Caenorhabditis elegans: one gene and its partner. The protein of the gene in region 1 interacts with the protein of each later gene in a pairwise test. Each region holds a gene or a part of one and is shown on either strand. Other genes may lie near its edges. The genes, in order: pik-1 and actl-1.

What was found.
Region 2: the proteins of pik-1 (region 1) and actl-1 interact in binary tests that used the Caenorhabditis elegans proteins (3 or more experiments, as listed by UniProt).

The regions. Positions count from the first base shown.
Region 1 is NC_003282.8:13,415,188-13,424,141, forward strand, and holds pik-1 (Pelle-like serine/threonine-protein kinase pik-1), read left to right. Parts: upstream 1-1,604; 5' UTR 1,605-1,609; coding exon 1,610-1,721; intron 1,722-2,605; coding exon 2,606-2,791; intron 2,792-2,843; coding exon 2,844-3,012; intron 3,013-3,977; coding exon 3,978-4,353; intron 4,354-5,723; coding exon 5,724-6,338; 3' UTR 6,339-7,204; downstream 7,205-8,954. Other genes in the region: Transcription factor aptf-2, read right to left, coding at 756-767; Polynucleotide 5'-hydroxyl-kinase nol-9, read left to right, coding at 7,315-7,423, 8,178-8,275, 8,325-8,510. UniProt on the Caenorhabditis elegans protein: Through association with the adapter actl-1, may act downstream of the receptor complex composed of ilcr-1 and ilcr-2, which is a signaling complex that modulates neuronal activity and animal behavior in response to sensory neuron input.
Region 2 is NC_003284.9:6,495,452-6,501,971, reverse strand, and holds actl-1 (ACT1-like protein), read left to right. Parts: upstream 1-2,135; coding exon 2,136-2,207; intron 2,208-2,469; coding exon 2,470-2,567; intron 2,568-2,617; coding exon 2,618-2,738; intron 2,739-2,783; coding exon 2,784-2,940; intron 2,941-3,024; coding exon 3,025-3,126; intron 3,127-3,180; coding exon 3,181-3,371; intron 3,372-3,869; coding exon 3,870-4,034; intron 4,035-4,717; coding exon 4,718-4,894; 3' UTR 4,895-5,169; downstream 5,170-6,520. Other genes in the region: cdf-1 (Cation diffusion facilitator family protein 1), read left to right, coding at 1-487, 567-708, 1,219-1,522, 1,573-1,677. UniProt on the Caenorhabditis elegans protein: May act as an adapter to facilitate downstream signaling for the receptor complex composed of ilcr-1 and ilcr-2, which is a signaling complex that modulates neuronal activity and animal behavior in response to sensory neuron input.

The DNA of each region.
Region 1 (8,954 bases):
ATCTGAACCCTTGCTTTTTTAGACCCAAAATGACTCAAAACTACCGAATTGTGTAATGAGACGTTTTGGAAATTTCTCAAAAAAAAAAGTTATGGTGGCTCAAAGTTCTGGAAAGAAGGCTAATTTTCAGCTAAAATCAACATTTTTGTCTAATTCTCGGTGTCGCAGCGTCTGGAACTTAATTTTGATTCAATTATCACTTTTTAAAGAATATTTTTGTTTTTTATTAGGCGTTTATTCGTTGATTTAAGTACATTTATTGTCAGTGGGGCACAAAAATGTAACTTTTATTTGTGTCCCACTTACCGAAAATATGTTTAAATCAACGAATAAACGCTTAATAGAAGACCGCAATAGTCTTTAAATAGTGATAATTACATAAAAATGATGTTCCAGACGCTGTGACACCGAGAAGTTGACCAAAATTTTGATTTTAGCTGAAAATGTGCCATTTTTCCAGAACCTTCAACTGCCATAACTTTTTTTTGAGAAATTTTCAAAACGTCCCATTACCAATTCGGTATTTTTGGGCTATTTTGGGTGTAAAAAACAAAGTCTCAGATTTCGGTACTCCAGCTTGAAAGTAAAATTGTTATTGCCAGACCTCCAAATTATGGAAAAAAAGCAAAAAAAAAGCTGAAAAAAAGGGAAGAAAGAAATGACATTAATAAGGTAGATCGAATGCCTTCTACAATATTTGACCTCATTGGTTGTAAATCGTTTATGGTGTGGAGATCAAATCTGTGCGCGCTCACCTGTATATCCATTCTTTTATTATTGATCTACTCTTCCAGTGTTGCAAAAACATCTGTTTTCTAGGTGACATCTCCAGAAGAATGTGCCAAGTAATGGAATGGAAGAGAGAGAAAATGTAGAGAGAGGGAGAGGGATGAGACGACGAGAGGAAGTGACGACACTCCGCTTTCCTCCGCTTTTGGATTTATTGGAATTTCAGAATTGTTCGTTTTATAAGTTTAATTAAATATTAAATTTTAATTTTAATTTAAAATATTTTTATTTTTAAAAATATAATAAAAACACATTCAAAACATTCTATACATTTTTTCAAAAAACCAATCAAAGGAGGAGTTTTATTGCTTTATTATACTCAAAAAGGCCCGAATACCCCGAATTTTATAACGAGAAAAAAATTAATTTCGAAGAAAAAATAGAATTTTCCCAATTTTTCGTTACACAACGGTTAGAAATTGATTTTTATTTGATTTTTCTTCTATTTTGAATATTTTTATTGGTTTTCTTGCGTTGTTTCGTTAATTTATCATCTAAAATTTTAATTTTTAAATCCAAACTATTAAATCAACAAAAAAACAGAAGATAAATAGGAAAATGAGCAAAATAGGGCAATAGTCAGATAAAAATCAATTTCCGATCGCTGTGAAACGGAAAAGTTGGTGAAATTGGAGATTTTAGCGGAAATAAACCTTTTAAAAGCATTTTTGAACAGTCTTGTTATGAAATTCGATATTTTGGGACCATTTTTAGTTTAATAAAGCAAAATAATTTTTGATTAGCTACTCTTTTAAAATTAAACTTGTTAAAATTGTTTAAATACATATTTTTAAAAATAATCTGGAATTTTTCAGAGACAATGGATGATTCTCTTGGAGTATCAGAAGTTGTAATGATTCCATTCATGAAACGAGAAGTTCTCCAGCAAATATGTGCGATTTTAGATACGGATAACACTTGGGAGACGATTGGTTCGGACTTTTTTATAACAAATCATTGAAATTTCGCGGTTTTTGCTCCAAAAATAGGGTCTCGAAACGACAAATTTTTGTTATATGCGAAACGGTGTGCGCCTTTAATTCTTAAAGCACTTTAAAGAATAGTTATTTCAAACATTCGAATCTGCGGATTTTTCATCGAATTTTTTTATAGTTTTCCTTTAAAGGTGGTGTAGTCGAATTTTTGTTATTGCTTTATTAGACTCAAAATTGTCTGAAAACACCGAATTTCTTAATAAAACTTCTAAAAAAAGTTATGACAGCTTAAAAAATGGCCTAAAATAAGTTAAAATTTGAAATTTGACCGACTTGTAAAGCGGCTGGAAACGAACTTTTTTGAAATCACCGTCTAATTGTAGGTATACCAGTTAATTATCTTGCGTTTTCAACTTGATTTAAGTATTTTAAAGTCTATGGACGACGAGATTTTTAACAATTTTTTTAAACCAAATCTCGCCGTCCATCGACTTTAAAATACCTAATTGTAAAGTAGTAGTCGAAAACGCAAGTTAATTGACATGTATACTCAAAATTTGACGGTGATTTCAAAAAAATTGTTTCCAGCCGCTTTACAAGTCGGTCAAATTTCAAATTTTAACAAATTTTAGGTCATTTTTTGAGCTGTCATAACTATTTTTTGAGAAGTTTTCAAAAAGTTTCATTATGAAATTCGGTGTTTTCAGATAGTTTTGAGTCTAATAAAGCAATAACAAAAATTCGACTACACCACTTTTAAAGGCGCACACATTTTCGCATTTAACAAAACAATTGTCGCGTCGAGACCTAGACAGAGAAATCACAAAATTTCACGTCTGGGGAATATAAATAGCAAAGTGTTCAAATATCCATAATTTCAGCACCTTACATGCCCGGAATTGAGTTGAGAGATGTTGAAGGTTGCAAGAGATATTCAAGTTATAACCAAAGTCCATCGGAGTTACTTTTAAGAATATGGAGCTCGAAAGGATACTCGACAACTCATCTTTATCAACTTTTTGCGAAAACAAAATTGATTCGATTGATGAGAATGATGAGGTCACAAGGTACAACTAATTGTTGTTTCTACTACAAAAATTTAAAATTTTTAATTCACAGTACATGAGAAGTATCATTATTTGGAGAACAAGGTCACAAATTCGACGTCTCGAGTTTCGAAACAAATGGTCCAACCGCCGGGGTCTCAAAGTGCGTCTCGTTTGAAAAAAACTGAAATAAAAGAGTCATCTCCGTCACCAGCAGCAGCAGCAGCTTCTCAGTTATCCAGGTCATTTTAGACATTTGGAAAAAATAATTGGAATTAATATAACTCTTAATCAGTTTTTTTTTTAGTTTTCGGAAAAAATTGAACTGTTGAAAAATTAAAAAGAGAACATTTTTCGTTTTACGATTTTCGAAAAATAAAAACAACGAAAAACCGACATACATGATTTTCGTCATGAAATAACAATATTTTTGCCTGAAATCGATGAATTTTTACAACTTGCTCGATTTCAAATGATTAATTTACTGCGAATTCATCTAATTTTTTGAGAAAAACCATCCCTTTACTTGGAAAGCATCGTTTTGTTTTTCTGCTGAAAACTACAGAGAAATTAAGAATTTGCGGGTTTTTACACTAAAATCATCAGCATTAACACTTGAAAAAAGAAATTTCCGGCAAATTGCCAGAATTAAAATTTCCGGCAAATCGGCAAATTGCCGGAATTAGAATTTCCGCCAAATAGGCGAATTGCCGGCAATTTGTCAAATTGCTGGAATTGAAATTTTCCGGCAAATCTGTAAAAATGCCGGAATTGAAATTTCCGGCAGATTGCCAAAATTGAAATTTCCGGAAAATCGGCAATGTGCCGATAATGAAAATTTCCAGTAAATCGGAAATTGCCGGAATTTAAATTTCCGGCAAATTGGCACATTGCCGGAATAAAAAATTTCTGGCAAATTGCCAAATTACCGAAATTGAAATTTCCGGCAAACCAGCAATTTGTCGATAATGAACATCTCCAGGAAACCGGCAAATTGCCAAAATTGAACAATTCCGGCATATTAGCAAATTGCCGAAAAAAAATAATTCGCGGGAATGTTCCAAATTCAAATATTCTAGTCACAAACTTGAATTTTTAAATTACTGTAAACTTCTCCTCGGGGAGTACACGAGCTGTGTAAATCGACACGGCGGCCATTCTATTTTTAGTATGAAATAGTTTTTATTTATAATAAAATAATTTTCAGAAGTAACACTGACGATACACTTCGTGTAGCAATCGAAGGAACACTTCCAGTAACTTATTGTGAACTTCTCGAAGCAACTAACGGCTTTGCTGTGAGCAATGTAATTGGAAAAGGTGGATATGGAACAGTATATAAAGGAGAATTAAAAGGAACTGGAGGAATTGTTGCAGTGAAAAGATTACATTCAGGAAATGATACATCACAGAATGGATCACGAGAACGACTTCGACAGAGTTTAACAGAATTACGAACACTGGCAAGATTTAGACATGATAATATTCTACCAATTTATGCATATTCATTGGAAGGATCTGAACCATGTCTTGTATATCAATTTATGTCAAATGGATCATTGGAGGATCGATTGTTGTGTAGAGTTCGTTCCGAAAAAATCTTGAAATAACTTGGAAAATTATGTTCTTTTTTCTGATCGAAATATACGAAATTTGAAAAAACTGGGACCTTTGTTTGTTAAATTTTTAATATTTTTTATTTTCAAAAAATTACAATTTTCGGTCGATGGTTCCAATTTCTAAACAACATCGAAAAAACGTTTAAAATTAAAAAAAAAATTTCATATTTGACAGAAAAAATAAACAAAAAATCGAATTTGTCCGTAAAACGAAACAAGAAACAAAAAAAATTTGGATTTTTAAAACATACCAATTAAAACATAATATTCCGACAAAAGTCCGAAAAACTAAAAAAAAAAACTACAGCCCTGATTCCGATCAAGGCTGCCGATTTTTTGATTATTGCCTAACATTCGAAAATTTTTAATTTTCCTATTATTTCATTTTGATGAGAAAAACATAATTTTTCAAAAAATAAGAAAAATTACCACAATTTTTGTTGTTGGATTTTTGAAAATGTATGATTTTCGCTTTTATAGTGAAAATAAGTAAAACAAATTCAGAAATCCCACAAAATAAAAACGGAAAAAATCGAAAAGGAAAGTTTTCAAATTTCGAAAAAAGTTGAATTTTTGGATTTTCGAGTTTTTTAGAATTTTGAAAATTTTTAAATGTTCAAAAATTAGAATTTCTTCGAGGTGAATTTTTTTTAAAAAGGGGAATTTTCCAGAAAAAAAAAGAAATTTTAAAAATTTTGAATTGTTCAGTTTTTCGAGTTTTCCGAAAGTTTGATACTTTAGAATTTTCAGAAAATTTGGACATTTTGGAATTTTCAAAAATGAAATAAAATTAAAAATTCATGATTTTCGGAAAAAAAAAGCTTTTCAAAATTTCAGAAAATTTAAAATTTTCGAATTAAAAAATTGGTTTTCAAAAATCTACAAAATTTATGCTTTGAAATTTTCTGGTTTTCGAATTCCCAACAAATAACATAAAATTTAAACATTTTGGAATTTTTTTAAAATTCTGTATTTTTCGTCTTAAAAAAGAGACTGGAAATTGTAACCAGAGTACAAGTATGCTCAAAATTTTGAAAATGTTCCAGAAATTGTTTTAAAAAAACTCGTTTCAAAATAAAAAATATTAGTTTTTCGAGTTCTCGAAGAAAATTTGTTTTTCGAGACCAAAAGAAACAATTTTGGACCGTAAAACAAAACTTTAAATCCAAAAATTTTGAAATATGAAAAAAAACCAAATTTTATTCTTGAATTAATTTTAAAAAATCGTGAGAAAGTAGAAAAAAATTTTATTTTTTAAATCTAAAAAAAATAAAAAATAAAAAACCAAAAAAGTCCCAGCCCTTGTACGAATAGGTATTACTTTTTCTTCTCAGAAAGGAAGTGTACCTCTCACGTGGATTCAACGAAAAGAAATCAGTATTGGAGCAGGTCGAGGACTCGGATTTCTTCATTCTTTCGGAAAAACTCCAATAATTCATGGCGATATAAAAACAGCGAATATTCTTCTCGACAAGCATATGGAACCGAAAATCGGCGATTTTGGTCTGTGTAGAGATGGACATGTTGAAGCTGAAGCAATGGAAAAGCATCCATTAATTGCTTCACATATCAAGGGAACACTTGCTTATCTTGCACCAGAATTCATTACATCAAAGATTCTTACCACAAAACTTGATGTCTATAGTTTTGGAATAGTACTTTTGGAAATTGCATCTGGTCAACGGGCATATTCGGATTCTCGTGAAACTCGGGGGCTCGTTGAATATTGTCAGGTTAATAAGGAATTGGCAGCACATCGGAAGATTCCAGTCAGAGAGATTTTTATTGATCGACGAGCGCCGCCACTTGTTGGTGATGAGGAAAAATCATTTTTGGATGCTCTGATTGAAGTTGGATTAGCTGGAGCGAATAACGATCGGAAAGTTCGACCGACTATGTCACAAATTGTTGAATATCTTTGTAAAAATTCAATTCCGCCAGTTGTCTAATTAATACTGTGTACCTTGCCATATTCCTCGAACTCGAAATTTTGCCATTTTTGAGTCAAAACTACGGTAGCGGGTCTCGACACGACCGCCTATAGAGATTACTGTAGCAGGGGCTTTTTTGGCAAATTTTTATATCCGGCAATTTGCCTATTTGCCGGAAATTTCAATTCTGGCAATTTGCCAATTTGCCTGAAAGTTTCATTTCCGGCAATTTTCCGATTTGCCGAAAGTTTTCATATCCGGCAATATGCTGATTTGCCGGAAATTTTTATTTTCTGAAAAATACCGAGTTGCCGGAAATTTCAATTGTGGCAATTCGCCAATTTGCCGGAAAGTTTGATTTCCGACAACTTGCCGATTTGCCGGAAATTTCAATTCTGACAATTCGCCAATTTGCCGGAAATTTCAATTTCATTTCGGTAAATTGCCGATTTGCCGGAAGTTGTTATTTTCGGCAGTTTGCCAATCTTCCAATTTGCCGGAAATTTTCACATCCGGCACTTTGCGTATTTGCCGGAAAATTTTATTTTTCGCAAATTACCGATTTGGCGGAAATTTCAATTTTGGCAACTCGCCAATTTGCCGGAAATTTTTATATCCAACGATTTGCCGATTTGCAGGAAATTTCAATTCCGGCAGTTTGGCGATTTGCCGGAAATTTCAATTCCTGAAATTTGCCAATTTGCCGGAAAATTTTCAGCAAATCGGCAATTTGACGGTTTGTCGATTTGCGGAAGTTTGAAATTACAGTACTCTTAACAAAAACTGTCGCTTCGAGACCAGATACAGTATTTTTGGCGCGAAATCGCGAACTTTTGCTTCTGGATAATAATTATTTATTATATATTTTTTATTGAATCTGTTTTTTTTAAAATATAATTTAATTTCTTCCCTTCTTATAACTGGATGTAAACCATTTTCCCAATTTTTTGAAAGTTTGAAATTTCAAGGTATTTTTCCAAACAATTCTCCAGAGATGGAAGAGGTTGTTCGATTCGAATGTCGGGACAGTAATCTTGAAATCTACGTGGTTCAACCCGGAGAACGTCTTTCGATTTTTGGATCGTGCTCGTTTTTGTGTTTAGGTAAAAATTTTGGGTTTTTGCTATGAAAAAAGACGAAAAATTGAAAATTTTTTAGATATTCTTTCGGTTTTTGTCTAAAAAATTTTAAAAATTTATAGTTTTTTCAGTTAAAAAACAGTTTGCTTTTCAGTTTTCCGGTATAAAAACTTTAAAAAATTTAGTTTTTTTGGTTTCAGAAAAATGAAAAATCGAAAAATTTTCAGTTTTAGATTTTCAAAATTTTAAAATTGATTTAAAAAAAGTTTTTGACTAAAAAAAATTGAAAAATCCAAAATTGTTTGTTTTGTTATTTTTCTGTAATTTTTCAAAAAAAAAAAATTTGTTTTTGATTTTAAATATTTGGAAAAATCGAAAATTTTTGGTTTGAAAGCATTGTACAATTTTTATTTTCACAAAAAAATCACAATTTAAGAAATCGATTTTTCAAAGGCTTGAAAAAATCTGAAAAATTTTCGGTTTTTTGAAAAAGAAAAACAGAGAAAAAACGAAATATTTCATTTTTCAACAAAAAAAAACAGAAAAATCGAAAATTTTCGTTTTTAGTTTTAAAAAAATTTGAAAAAATATAACATTTTACAGTTTTCGTTTCAAAAAAAAAAATTTTTTTTTTGAATTTTCTGAAAAAAATTTCTAATAAAAAAATCAGAAAACTCAAATGTTCTATTTTCGGTGTTCTTGAAAAATTAATTTTAAAATTGAAAATTGTTCGTTTTCTATTTAAAAAAAAAACGCCACTACAAAGTTTGAAATTCAGCTGGAAATGCGTCAATCAACGACTACAACCTTCCGGCAGTTTCGTGTGAATCGAGCAATTTCATGAAAATCTCGGCACCGCAGAGAATGGATGTACCGGTACAAAAAGTAAATTTCGACTTTTTAGAAATCAAAAGAATTTCTTCAGGCAATTCTACAAGTTTTTAAAAGTGGACCTTCTTATAAGCATGCTCGTCTCAAGTTTCGACTGAAAGAGGTTGCACCGAAAAATTACGAGAAAATTATGGAAATGATTGGAACCACGGAGCCATCTGTCTTTATTTTCAGCAAAATTTTAGATTTTGCTGAAGAGACAGTTTCTGGTGTTGTTTCTGTATGTTTTTAGGTGTATTTTTGCTTTGTAATAGTCTCAAATTCAGAAATACCACTAAAACAAAGGGCAAAAAAGATAATTTACAGAATAAAAAATTCTAGTGCATTTTTCAGTAAAAAAGAAGTAGAAATTTTCAAAATTTTGAATTTTTCAGCTTTTCGGGGTTTTGGAAATTTTGATACTTTTGAATTTTTCAATAAGTTTTCAAATGTTCAAAAAAGTTGTATTTTTGGAATTTTCAGAAATAAAATTAAACTAATAATTCATGATTTTTGGAAAAGTTTTCAGAAATTTTGTATTTTTAAGCTTTTCGAAATTTCAGAGCATTTTTAATTTTCGAATTAAAAAAAATAGTTTTGAAAAATCTACAAAATGTTTAGTATTCAGAAATTTAGAAACTGTGAAAAAACTTAGATTTTCAGAAAATAAAATAATAGCGAAATT
Region 2 (6,520 bases), on another chromosome or scaffold:
CTTGTCATCGGATTCATCGGATTGCTAATCAACTTATTCGGTATGTTCAACTTGAGTGGTCACGGTCACAGTCATGGAGGCGGAAGTCATGGTCACAGTCACGGAGGAAGTCATGGTCACAGTCACAATAACAAGAAGACTAAGAAAAATGATGGGCATGGTCACAGTCATGCAAATGGCCATGGACACTCTCATGATGGGAAAAGTGATTGCAATGGTGAAGAAGAGCCGGATCACACTAGATTGAATGGAAAATTTCGAAGTGCTTCTGCGATGGCAAACTCCGACGCCAATGTGCGACTACTGGATAATGATGACAACTCCAATGACATTATTGAACGTCGTCTTTCTGGAGTTAATAGTCAGAATACCATCATCGCGACGGTCGATCGTCAAATGACACCATATGGAACACACATGGCCAGTGAAGTTCTCAATGTGTCTTCTAACAATCTCGATAAAAGTGCTCAAAAGACAGAACAGAAAAGTGAGTTTTTTTTTTGAGAAAACTCTAGTTTTCATTCGAAAATGTTTTAAATCAAAATAGTGTAGCGAAATGTTTGTAGAAGACAAAAATGTGAACATTCACGGAGTTTGGCTTCATTTATTGTCGGATGCCTTCGGATCTGTGATCGTCATGATTTCTGCCGGATTTGTATACTTTTTGCCAACATGGAAAATTGCCGCTTATTTGGATCCAATTTTAAGGTAATATTTATAAAATTTGGCCGAAAAGCTTCAAAACAAACCAATCTTAAAATCACTTATAATCATATAGTGCTGAAACCACCAAAAATCATTTAAAAAATGTCAACTTTTATTTTGGAAAACTGCGAGTCGGAAAACAGTGAAAACTCTTTTTGTCAATTTTTTCTAAAGTCGAGGATCAAAAACAATTTTTTTCAGTTTTTATACCACGATTCGGTTGTTATCCATTTTCCAGCATTACAGGGGCTCGAACTTTGATTTGGATTTCTCGGAAAGTGGCTCAAGATCAGTTTTCCTAACTTTTTGACTCGCAAGAAAAACATTTAAAAGAAAAACATTCAATGTTTTTAGAAAAGATTTATGTTATTATTAGTAATTATGAAACCACATAATAGTTTTTTTTTTAAATTTAGTCTTCTCTGGCTGTACTCCACCATTCAGTATTTTAAAATTGTATTTTTGTATAAAATTGTATTGTATAATATTTTAAAAAGGACCGTTAATTTTCAGTATTTCCCTGGCCTCCATCATGGGTTTCACTGCAGTGGTTCTTGTCAAAACATCGGGAGAAAAGCTGCTCAAGCAAACCCCAGAAGGGCTCGACCTCGAAAAGGTGAAAAAAGATTTGTGCAGCATTGTTGGTGTATCCAAAGTGGAAAAGCTGTCTGTGTGGACGTTGTGTGGGCAACGAATCATTGCTGCCGCCCACGTGAACATATGTCACCCAGCAGTTTTTCCTGAAGCTGCTTATAAAATTAAAAATTATTTCCACGACTTGGGAGTACACTCAACGACTATTGAACCCACCTTTGAGGTAAGCTTTTATTTATCTTGTGCGAAATCGAAAATAAAAAAAAAATTCAGGATACCTGCATGCAGTCGATGAGAATAATGGTTAAAAAAGTTGTTGATGGCAAAAGCATCGAGGAGCCAGTCAGTGTGTCAACTGAAAATGAAATCACCGAATAATCGTTCAAACAACTATTTTATTTTTGATTAAAAAATTTTGAACTTCGCGGGCCGAAAATACCAACATTAAAATGTACTTTTTCTTCTCCTTGAAACTATGTTTTTGCATTTGATCGTTTTAGCATCTCAACATCTACTCACCTTTCTTAGTTTCCTTCATTAACCGTATAATTTTTTCCACAATCTGGTCAAAAACTCGTCAAACTATTTAATTTATACGTGTCAATCCATTTCCCCACCCCCATTTACTGAAGTGTCCTTACTTTGTGTCTACCAATTTTCACTTACGCCTACTTGTTTTGTTACCCTTCAGTAAGAATTTCTCTAAATTTCTAGAGTGATAAAAAATAATAAATGAAATATCCATTTTAAGTAAAAACTAGTTTGAACATCCAATGGTTAATGCCAAATTGTCTACTATATTTATAAATAATTATACATACAGTAATAAGCGAAAAATGACTAAGATGAAAATGGACGTAACAATTGAGTTGGATCTTGATGGCGATGATTGGGAGGAGGTTGATGTGGTAAGTTGGTAGTTCAAAAGATTTTTGTGTAAAAAAGAAACTGATTGAATATATTTGAAGTGTACTATCAAGTTGCTCGAAATGCGACTTAAAGTTGTAATGTTCCGAATTACTGTTTTTGTCGGCACATTGATATTTGAGTCAGTTTTAAGCAATTTTTCAAAACATTTGATCGAAGTGACAGTATTAAAAAATGTTTCTTATACTCCTGTTCAAATTTCCAAATAAAATGTTAACAAAATATACATCTTGAAAATTTCAGTTATCCGACAAATGCGTTGAAGATATTCTAGAAGACGTTCACATAGATGATCCAATTTTAGTATCTGATGTTCGAATTACCCTACCTGCAAACATTCGGTATGTCATTCTATTCTATAAAAAACGTCAAGTAAAAAAATCGATTACAGAATCAAAAACTTCAAGAAAGAAATACGAGATTTGATTTTAGCAAATCTAGATGTCCCAACAACGGTTTCGGCCGGATCATGGCAGATTGTTTCAAGTTTCTTGCGCGGCATTGAATACTCGGTAACTTTCAAAAATAGTTTCAACGTTTATAAAGTTTGTTTTCAGGAGATAGGAGGAAGGGAACGAAATAGCAAGCTATCGTGGAAGCCATTTGAAGATATGCACGCTCAAATACTTGTAAATGCTCTAGCATATGCTCAACGAGTCGATATTTTAGTGAAGCTTAAATCGTATATAGATTCCAACAGTTATCTGAAAAATGGTGAGTTATCATTTTCATGTAACAATTTTTTAAATTTGACTGATATTATTAAAACTAATTCATACATGCACATTGTAATTACAGTTCCCGAACCAATGTTTGCATTTGCTGACACGGACTCCATGGCAAGTACAACTACATTTTCAGAATATGCGGAGCCTGTACATTCGATGAATGCTAGGAAAAGCAAGTTTTAATTGAAGTTTTAGTAATTGGAACCTAATACATTTATTGTTTCAGAAATATTATTGTTGCACTATGAAACTACGTCCAAAGAAAAGGAAGATTTCAAATGGTTTAAATGCAATTTGAAAAATGTTTTAGAAAAAGAACGCAAGGAGGGAAAAGACTTGGAAGTTTTTGATGTGAAGGTGTGGGAGAAGGATGATCGGGGAAACGTGTTTCAGGAGCTGGAAAAGCATTATGATCTAGTGAGTTGGCAATAAGTCTAGTCATTTCGGGGGCATGTTATCAAATTATTATCAAAAAATAACAATTGCACAGGCCACGTGGCTTTTGTTTTTTTATTATATTTCTTTTTTATTTAGGCTCCTCCCATGTTTGACTTTTAGTTCAATTTTTAAATTCTCTCCGAAAATAAAATTGTGGGAGGAGCGTAAATAAAGATGAAATAAAAAACAAAAGCCACGTGGCCTGTGCGATTCATATTTTTTGATAATAGTTTCAATTTTTCAAATGTATTTCATTGTGTAACATTTCGGAAACAACTTTTTGGTTTTTTGAAAGATTTGAACATTATAGACTTTAAAGCCCTGTAAGTCTAATACTGTTCTGGTGTTTTTTTTTTACGGATTTAGTTTTCATTTTTCCAGAAATCGTGGGCAATGTTTTTTTTTATTATTATTCAACTTTTTCTAAGTTGTTTGTGATTGTAAATTACTGATTACAAAATTTTTTGCATTTTCCAGTTTCCGCATATTGTTGTGTGCTTCAATAAATCTTACATAGAAGCCACAAAACCGAACAGCAAAAGCAAAATGCCTCAGTTCCGAAAATCAATCAGTGATAAGTTGAATGTAGAATTCCACATGAATGGCAATCGCAATTTACGAGGCAGATGTGTACTTATGTCGGTGAGTTTGGTATTTTGAAAGAGGAGTAATTTCTGGTATCCAGAAGGTTTTAGGTTAAATGTTAGGTTAAAGGTTAATTTTTTTAAAACTGATGCAGTGAAAATCTTTGATTCAAAATTATATCTCGATGTTGAGGCAATTATTTTCATTTTCAAAGATGGAGTAGCAAAATTGGGGACATTGCTCATTAAAGTTAAGACCAAATGTACCCAATTTTGTGATGAGGTTCTGAAGTTTTCTCAAAAACAGGTTATGGCGGTTCAAACTATTGAAAAAATATTGTATTTTCATCTAAAATCGCAATTCTGTATACTCGACAAAACCACAACTTGCAAAAGTAAAATTTCATGTGAGCCTAATTCATTACGTTGGCGAAATTTGAGATTTCAGCTGAAAATAGGGTTTTTTTTCCAAAACTGAACTACCGTTATTTTTTATGAGAAGTTTTAGAGTTTTCTCATTACGAACGTCGGAATTTTGTGATCATTTTTGGTCTGATAAAATAAAGACTCAAATATAGCTGCTCCACCTTCTACAAAATTTTTTGATTAATTTGTCTTAACATCACATTTAAAAACTTCGTTTTTAATTAAAGATTGCAGTATCTTTCTGAAAATACATGGCTGGACATCTAACTCTCTGGCTTCCAAAAATGTTTACACTGTGTGAAATGTGTATTATAGGAAGTGGAAAAAGTAACGGACACGTACTGGGCAGCTGTAACGAATCAATATCCATTCCCCGGAAGTTTTGAACCATTTGTGAAGCGTCTTCTGAGAGATGGAAAAGTGAAGAAACAATCACACAATAATGCAAATGATCATCACGAGGATTCCATGAACTACAGTATTACACAATAAACACCATGTGGTATTTTGAGCCAATAATCTATACATTGTAGCATCTGATGAACTTTTTTTTCATTGTACACTTTTTTGATGACAGTCACGTGTTTTTTTAGATTTCTCAGACAGTCTTTACTATCCACATTTTTTCATATTACAAAAACAGTATTTTTCTTTCAATTTTCTCAGTTAATCTATTAAGATGTTGTTTCCGACTTTCAATTTCCAGATTTTATTATACACTAATGAAATAAATCTTACAGAAGGTTCTATCTTTGAACACTATGAATTCATAATTGTGAAGCACTTTTATCCTAGACAACTTTTCCCCACTCTTCTCACATCTTTTTATAGGTTTCAGTTTCTCAATTGAAGCTGACACATCTGCCGCGCTTTTAATTAAATTAGCGGAAACTAATATTCAGAACAAATTTGAAGAAGAGATTGAGACAAAATCTGAGTGGTAATAATTGAGAGTAACAACTATGGGGATGTTTTCATAAACCCCTTGGCAAACTCAGTCGCTCAGATGGAAATCCTATGCTTTCAATACTTTTCACCCTTTTTTCGCTAACCGGGAACATCGGTTCATAATCAAAATTTCAATTACAAGTTGTTGAAAATTTTGAATTTTGAGAAATAAGTTTGATGCAAAATTGTTTCACGAAATTAATTGTTTCACTTTTCCCATTGGCAATATTCCATCTTAACATTTTAATTTTTGTGAGTTCATTGGACGCTTTTACAATTATTTTCCCCGAAATACGTGCCAATGAGGTTTCGAGAGAAAGGTTTCCTAGTTGACAATTTTTATTTTCTCCTTTTTCAAACAGTGGATTAGCAATCGACTGGCATGATGAAGAAGGAGGAGATCATCTCAAAAAATATTAACCAAAATAATAGGCAAAGCTTATCAGACGGCATTAGATGTACAACAGCTTCTGGAAAAAGATTTGATATGATAGTCATAGTCACTTTACATCCAACGATAACAATTTTTTCTTTGCATCCCTGTTTTTTCCTTACTTTTTATTGCTTGTGAGAGTGAGTAATGGAAAGATCTTTGTTATTTTTTTAATCTTGATTGTGGTGCTCCTGGCAAACGAAACAAAGCACGAACAGAAGGAGCAAGCAAAAGTTTGTGTTGCGCCCTAAGAAAATCCACATAAAACATGCTTTAAAGCACTCGGACCACCAATTTATCTGTCATTAATTCAAGTTTCATTAAGCCCTACCGATTCGCATCACTGCACCAATTTATAAAGAAAAGCCTAACTTTTTTCATCATTTCATCATTGACATTTGTTTCTTATCCCTACTAGCTCACTTTTAGTTTTTCCCCCTTTTTTGGAGTATGCATTTGAATGTGTAATCGTAAAAAATTGTGAAGCAAAATGAAAAAGTGAAGAACTCCGCAATTATTGGTCGGTGAGTTTTTTTACAACAATAGATTGAAAAGTTCGTGGTATACAAACATGAAAAATTTAAAAATCAGAATTTTGAAGCATTCTTATATTCTCCACACTTTTAAAATCAAGATTCGCTTGAACTTTATAATTTTAAAATTGTAATAGCTAGATTTAGTTCAGCATGTGAATAATCAGCATGTAATTGAAGATTAATTAATGTTAGTGGCGACTA